2 linked regions of the Bombyx mori genome follow. The protein of the gene in region 2 interacts with the protein of the main gene of each other region in a biochemical or structural test. Links are inferred from orthologs where the notes say so. Each region holds a gene or a part of one and is shown on either strand. Other genes may lie near its edges.

Region 1 (3,950 bases), on a different chromosome or scaffold from region 2:
ATTATCAAAATTATTATTTTATCAAATGTAAGATACTACAATACTGTAATTACTGAACATCAAGTAAATGATAAGACTATAAACACACAATTACTTTATGCTTTTCCTGAATTCACAAATAGGAATTGTACATACTTAAATATTTTGATCTATATTGTTGTGTGAATCTTATGTCTTAAACATTAAAAAAGTATCTATTGCTTTTATTTCCATAAATAAATATTCTTTCCAACTGTATATAATAGTAGTTCACATAAAATCTATGTACTCTATGTACCTAGTAATGGATTATCCATAACGGAAAAACACTTTCATTGATTAAAAACAAGAGTTTATCAGTTGTAATCTTCATCTTCATCCATGGCAAAATCAACACCAGAGTCGGCTGCACAAACAGGGCTGCAAATAATAAGATTATTATAGTAATTTATGATAGTAAAACGTAAGTAGTGTATATTCAGATTTGTTGGCAGACATAAGATACTAGAAAGTTTTTTAGTAGTAAAAAAAATATTTATTTATTTTGTTGTAAAACATTATCATTTTATACATTAATATGTATTTAGGTTCAGTGTACTTAAACTCAAAAATGGTTGGACTGATTTTACTAAAATTAGTAGTACACATAATTATATTGGTTGTTTCGAAATTTTACATTACAAGAATGTACATAATTTCCAATAGGAGTTGTGAAAGGTATGAAACAGTAAATTTTATTGAGAAATGACAGTCACATCCAATCAAAAGTCTGGTTTTACTAGTAATGTATAAAATCTTCTTAGAAATGATGACTAATTGTAACACAAATCAGGATGTAATGTATTAAACACACCTTATAGCTCTGAAAGTGAGAAAAACAATCCTTTTCAACTTCTTATTGTAGAAAAAGAAGTTGTAAGCCCAAAGACATCCAGGTTCACCAAATGGATCAGTAGCTAGGTCTGGATTATAGCTGTAGATACGACATTCTGGTAGGAGCACTTCTTCATCAACAGCAGCCCACAAGACTGGACGCAGTTGGCGCCAACGCACACCACCTACTGCAGATAAGGCAGCATCAACTGCACTTTGCACCCAATTCAATGACGGTTCAGCACTGAACTCACTGCTCTGTAAAAGGTAATAAAAATGTTAATGACATACGAACATCATCATTACTAAATTCAATTGCTACATATTAATAATACTGTACCTTTGCCATGGAGAAATCATAGTCTGGAAAAGCAGCATTCAATGTAGCAATGAGATAAAACAATGTTTTCCTTGAAATGGTGTCGCATAACACACCGTCTTCGTCACCAGACAAGCTCCGGCTAAAATAATATTTCAATATGAGTATTAATGATCAATGTTCTTTTCAGTTTTTGCAATTCATACACAATCAAAACTAGTTTTAGGGTTTAATCTCAGGATTTTTATTGTCCTTACATTATTTCCAATATTTTGAATGTTTTTCATAATCACAGAAAACTGTATGTCATTATCAATTAAACCAATAACATTATTAATAATAATATTTATAGTTAGAATATTGTCATCAAATCGGGTGGACTTTTGAAAATATATATCTTATACGTAGATTATTATATAGGCCTAGTTATATGTCACAGGAGAACACTGTCCAGGCTCTCTCTGTTTCTAAGTATAAAGTAAGGTTGTCTAATGCAATTGAGGCTTCATCTTAATGTTTTAAGATTTTTATTAACTACTTTACATTAAATGCCAGAACCATTTGGTGTAAAGTAGTTAATAAATCCCACTGCTATTATCTAAGGTAAGAAAGTAATTTAGGACAGTGTTAAAAGTAAATAATATAGCTATATGTTCCTACGTTAACAATTTACAGTATGTGCAGTACATAAATACTGTGTTGTCTTGCATTTTTTTAAGTAACTTCAGGGTAATCATGTGATTACCTATAAGTAACACTCTCAGGGGGAGACAATGCTTGAAGACTATGAGTAGTTTCTCCATCAGCAGTAAACTTCTTATAGAAAGCTTTCTCACTGCCAGCCATTTTGCAGCTGTAGCTTTCAACGCGGCCTTGTACAGCACTGTCGCCATTCAGAATAGACAGAGCTCTGCTTAATGCTTCCAAACGACCACTTTCCAATAGTTTCATTTTCTCTGATTTTATTCTGTTCAAATTATCCGATCAACAGGCTCGTTATTATCGGTGCATTTATATTTATACTACACCATAAATTATTTCTGTACATAGCCGTGGGGTGTATGAATATTCCTTTTCTCTTTGAGTGTAAAAGGTTCACACTCGGTATCAAATTCGACTTCTGTTCTTCTTCCGCGCGGATGAAATGCGGGAACATCACAAAAAAGGAGAAAAGGATGGTTTTAGAAGTTGCAGTACTAGTATTAATTATCCACAAACTTGTTGATGGGTTTACACAATGGCTCGCGTCACTTCACTTTTTAGAATGCAGAAACACAACGGTTATTTTCAAAAACCAAAATCCATAGAAGACATCGTCGCTAAATATAATCACTATTGGAAAACAAATTATTTGATTAGCTAAACTATCTTTAGTTTTTCAAAACAAAATAATCTTCAATCGAATCACAAGTAGGTACAACAATCACGAACAATATAGAGAATATAGACTACCTACTTAGTTTTTAAGGGATTTTATGACTTGGTAACTAAGACCTTTAGGTCAATTTTAATTTTAATGAAAACTCTTTTATATGAAATAGGATATTATGAAAGGAAATGAAATGAGATGAGATGAGATGATATGGGATGAAATGTAATAGACCACTTACTAATTACCTACCTAACTTATGACTGATAGTTTCAAGTAAGAAGTTTACATCATTACATTTACTTAATAGTTCCTAATATTATTTCATATCATTAGTCTGGACTTTAAAAAACAGTGATGGAGGCTCAAATTTGAAAAAATCAGGGTGCTGCACAAACACAGTCGAAGCAGACATCAACGAAGGTGGCTATTAAGCTTTCTTCGTCTCAGGAAAAATCCTTTTCTCATTCTTTAGTGCGATTATAATATTGATAGTTAAGTAATCATTATTTACTTATTGTAATCAGTGGCTAGAAGCTAGAATAGTATTTAGAATTGCCTACATCATATAAGCTTTTTTTTTTTGGTCTGGAGGAAATCGCCGGACTTCCGCCCTCCCCTGGGGATGGAAGGCGGGGCATGTCGGAGTCGAACTGACTAAAACCTCCTGTCGCTCAACAACCCGCGTCCGAACCTCGCATGTAACAGAACCCATGAAAAGGCAAAGGAGGGAAAGTGAAGCGTTTAGTGCGGAGCACATCTCTCCCATCACCCTCCCCCTCGGGACGCCGGACCAGCGGTCGTCGGCACCACGACCACCAGCCCTCTCGGTCGGCAGGCTATCCGGAGCCCGCCTAGATGGCGCCGGTTAGAATGGGTTATACTACGGAATACCCCGCTGGGTCAGAACCAGCGTGGGTCGAGGATAGCCGGCCTTCCATCACCCGGATGCTCTTGCGTAAAACGCGTGCAGAGCAGCTTGCACGTCGTCTACTTAGGCCCCCTTCGCCGGTCCACAGACCGACATATGAAGGGGACGCGAAACACTTAGAGGGCCAGGGCTTGGGCGAGATCCGCCTCCCTGGCCCCCGCTCGACGGCGGCGGGCTTGCGCGTCTCTCACGCGCCCCGCCGCCTCCTTCTGCGAGATGGTGCACTCGCAGAAGTCGAGCATCGCCTTCCATGACTCGTCGTCGCCGAGCATCGATGCCACAACACTCGGCAACGACAAGTCGTTTCCTATTTTTGCGACGAGGACACGGCGCCACCCCTCCCATGCGGGGCAGACGACGAGCGTGTGTTCCGCCGTGTCCAAGTCGCAACCACAATGGTGGCACTCTGCCGTCGGCTCGGCTCCGATCCGGTGCAGGAACTCACCGAAGCAACCATGCCCAGTGAGCACCTGCGTGAG
Region 2 (3,962 bases):
AAATCAATTCTGTTAACCATTTATTTAAAGCATGTCCACCACCATTAACCTCTGCCAAATCTCCGATGGCCTTTAGTACTGTAGATATCATAGTGGAATTACTGTCCTTTTCTTTCAGTTTCGGTATAAGCACATTTAGAATTGTATCAACAAATTGACGTGTAATTGTGGGAGCATGAGATATAATATTATTTATCATTCGTAAAGCTTTTTCTTTATTCCGCGGAGATTCTGAATGTTGCAAATCTATTAGAATTTGTACATACAGTTGACGCAATGTTGGTGTGGTATAGCTTGGGTTGAGATTGCTCAATCTTGCAAAAATGCACAGTGCTAGTTCTCCAACTTCAGAATTCGAGTCATTAATAGAAACAAAAAGACAATTTAGATGTTCTTCTACAGCAAGATATCTGTCAAATACTGGATTCATAAACACCTCAAGTACTCTGTAGCGTATTTCATGATCAAAATCTGATCGTCCAACAGACAAAATTTTACCTATGGATTCATCAATCATTAAATTTAAAGTTCGTGAATTTATCTGGGCGCATCTCTCCACAGCTTTCGTTAATAATCTTGCAGCTGTCTTTACTGCTTCTAGCCGAATGTCGTGATGATCACACAGCAGATAATGATCTGTACACCTTCTGATGAAGGACATCAAAGTGTTATTCCATTCAAAATCAAAAGAACCTAGAGTCCTCAAAGCCAATACTAATTTATTGGCATCATGAGGTTCTGCTAGCAAAGCAGTTGTGAAGACACCTTTGTGATTTTCGTTGGTAGAAACATAAGGTTTCTTTCTCAATATTAAAGATAGCATGTTCAATAATTTATCAGTTATATCTTTTTTTAAAGAAGGTAAATTATTGCTTAGTTCTTTAAAGCAAGTTGTTAATTGTGGACTTAAGCCTGTCAAACACATAGAATCTAGCAGCTCTCTAACTTCATTTGCTACATTCTCTTTCATGGCAAATCCTAGTAATGTAACACAATGAAATAATGGTGTTTCAGATCCGTTACGTTTTTTCTGTGTTTCTTTGATTGGCAGGGTTAATTTGATAATATCAATAATTCTTGAGAGATACTGTTGTACATCTGATTCCATAGCTACACAAACCAAGCCAAGTGTGGTGAAAGCCATGGCCTTTTCTTTTTCTCTACCACGTAAGAATGTTATCAAATGATTTATCGTTGACTTCAGATGTCTTTTAGCAAAAGTTTCTTTGTTGAAGGCAGCTAATCGAGGTATTAACAGAAGGAGCATCTGATGCACATTATGAGCTCTTGATATTTGCTGAGCCATTACATCTGTAAAAAATAATTGTTTAGTCTCAATAGATACAATGACACTATAATTTATTTTTCTAAATACAAATTAATTTTTTTTTGCCAGTTCATACCAGCTGAGATTTTTTCACAATTATCTTCAATTAATTTCTTGCAAATACTGGATTCAAATATTAGAGGTTGATTTTTTTCATCTGAATAATGTGACAATGACCATGAACCCTGAATTTTAGGACTGAGAGAAGACATTTCATCATGAGAATCTAAATCAGGGTCTAGCTTTTGCATTAGAGAAGTGTATTTTTTCTCCCATGCTGCATTTGAGCACCTGAGTAATTCATTTAGAATTAATAAAGCTCCATGCACATGGTCATCCCTGTTCAATCCCCTTTCTCTAATAGCATGATCACCAAATGATGTCTCTGCTTCTTCATAACATTGAATATACCAATGAGCTTTGTTACTTTGCTCTGGCTGCTCTCTCTGAGAGGTTACTGCAAAAGCAGCCCTCAAAACTTTTGCTGCAGCTTCTCGTATTTGATCTTTAGGATCTCTAAGTGCTCTCATGATATGATTGAAGAATCCATTTATTTGCTGAAAAAAATATGATGGCATAGATATAGCCAGTTCTCTCAAAATTAAAACAGCCGATAATCGTTTGCCTTCATTTCTTTCTTCAGCTAGCCATTCGAAACATCTTTTTATTTCAGTCTCCACATATTCTCCTCTTTTAATTCCTAATGAGGAAGCTAATCGTCCCATAGTTTTAGCACCCAATTCTAAGAGATTTATGTCTGTAGATGGAAACACATTTCGTAGATAATTTGCATAACGTATTGTCCTTGTTTTGGTGGTCTCTGTATCACCTCCAATAAGACAAACTGAAAAGATATTTTATAACATTTTATTTATTTAAATTAGCACCACCTACTCCAAAATTTCTGTATTTGTTAATAGATTAATTATTTGGAACCATTAAAGACATGTGAATCATGGCCAATAGAAAAATATAACCTCTATCATGTACCTATAGTAAGAATTCCAGCTTTTTTTTCGTTGTTATCGTAACTAGTGGTCATATCGTGTATCTGTTGGTTGAAATCATCTAAAATTTGGGTCAAACTATCCTGAGACATTTCCCGCAGTTCTGTTTTGGCAAAATGTAGCAACTCTCGCACAGCTCGGTGTCTTGTTTCTGAATGTCGAGATTTTAGACCTGATATCAGCTCTAATACTTGATGATTCGTCATATTGTCGCCTTTGTCAGAAATTTTCATTTCAAGGAAAGCCAGATTTGTTTTTTAAAAGACTCAGAACAAACTATTACACTCGCAGTTCATCACCATCACTGCTATAAATTATTATGAATTCAAACCTCTATCAATGTTTCACTCAAATTACTATTAGTCATGATTTCGTTTGTATATTTGTCGACTTAATTGATAGTCAACGATTTTTAAACAAATTATTAAAAGATAAATGTAAACAAATGAAGTTAATAACATTCGGCCATTGACACAGGATTGATAGATTATCTATGGTTCACAAATGTAGGTATTTAAAAAAATCTTCTTGGTAGTTTTCCAATTACAGCACATTATGCGGCATAATGCTCAACGTTGAATGGTCCAACTACAGCAACGCTTCGCACAATCGAGCACTCTCAAAAGTACTGCCTGTCATCAGATATTTTATTAATGGCTCAAATAACTCATCTGTTTCATTATCATATATATTTTCAATAAGTATATCACTTGTTAATGAAATAATTGATTTAAACTCGAAGCACTCGATAAATCATCGTCAACACTATCATCTGGATAAGATGATTCAATTAAAAAGTATATAATTTTCTTATAACTCGTTTATAAAAATTACTCAAAACTTAAAAAAGTGTTAATGAAATAATCAAAATCTAAATTACTTAAAATAACCGTAAATAGTTTTCAACCAATTATTATTGTTTACCACTACATTATTTATACATTAATGAGGTTTGAATATATTTTTTTCAATACTGAACTTAGCGCACTCTGCTGATGCATTTGAAAACTAATTCACGTTCCAATTATGCTTCAGCATAATTCGGCATTGTGTCCCACTGAGTCGCATTATGCTCTGTAATTGGAAAACTACCCTTGCTTCCCTACTTTGAACTATACATAGTTATTATAATTAGATACATTGAAGAATCCGTGTGATATAATTTTTTTTGTGTACTTTTATCTTTTTCTTTTTCGTGTACGACAAAGTTAAATTGATCATCAGCTTCAACTCGGGTCATAGACATTTCATCAAAGCCATTTATGGTTCTTTTATGGCTTTCGAAAATAATAGGGAAAGCAAACAACATAGTATGTGTTTGCTTAAAACACATTAAACATCAAAGCTTAGATGGGTGGACGAGCTCATAGCCCACCTTGTGTTAAGTGGTTACCGGAGCCCATAGACATCTACAACGTAAATGCGCCACCCACCTTGAGATATAAGTTCTAAGGTCTCAAGTATAGTTACAACGGCTGCCCCACCCTTCAAACCGAAACGCATCACTGCTTCATGGCCAAAATAGGCAGGGTGGTGGTTCACGCTGACTCACAAGTGGTCCTACCACCAGTATTCACATGAGGTCCTACCACCAGTAGATGTTAGGGCCAGTGTTAGCAACACTTGCG

Evidence for each region. The genes of interacting proteins can lie anywhere in the genome.
Region 1: of the proteins of TOR1 (region 2) and repressor of RNA polymerase III transcription MAF1 homolog, one has a biochemical effect on the other in vitro, tested with the Homo sapiens proteins (2 studies listed by BioGRID and IntAct). The link is inferred for Bombyx mori from reciprocal best matches to the Homo sapiens genes MTOR and MAF1.

Annotation. Positions count from the first base shown.
Region 1 is NC_085110.1:12,881,044-12,884,993, reverse strand, and holds the start of repressor of RNA polymerase III transcription MAF1 homolog, read right to left. Parts: upstream 2,801-3,950; 5' UTR 2,123-2,800; coding exon 1,917-2,122; intron 1,314-1,916; coding exon 1,193-1,313; intron 1,111-1,192; coding exon 833-1,110; intron 400-832; coding exon 336-399; 3' UTR 1-335. UniProt on the Homo sapiens protein: Plays a role in the repression of RNA polymerase III-mediated transcription in response to changing nutritional, environmental and cellular stress conditions to balance the production of highly abundant tRNAs, 5S rRNA, and other small non-coding RNAs with cell growth and maintenance.
Region 2 is NC_085109.1:10,806,750-10,810,711, forward strand, and holds the start of TOR1 (target of rapamycin), read right to left. Parts: upstream 2,801-3,962; 5' UTR 2,666-2,800; exon of another isoform or gene 2,568-2,665; coding exon of another isoform or gene 2,318-2,567; intron 2,172-2,317; coding exon of another isoform or gene 2,053-2,171; coding exon 1,404-2,052; intron 1,312-1,403; coding exon 1-1,311. UniProt on the Homo sapiens protein: Serine/threonine protein kinase which is a central regulator of cellular metabolism, growth and survival in response to hormones, growth factors, nutrients, energy and stress signals.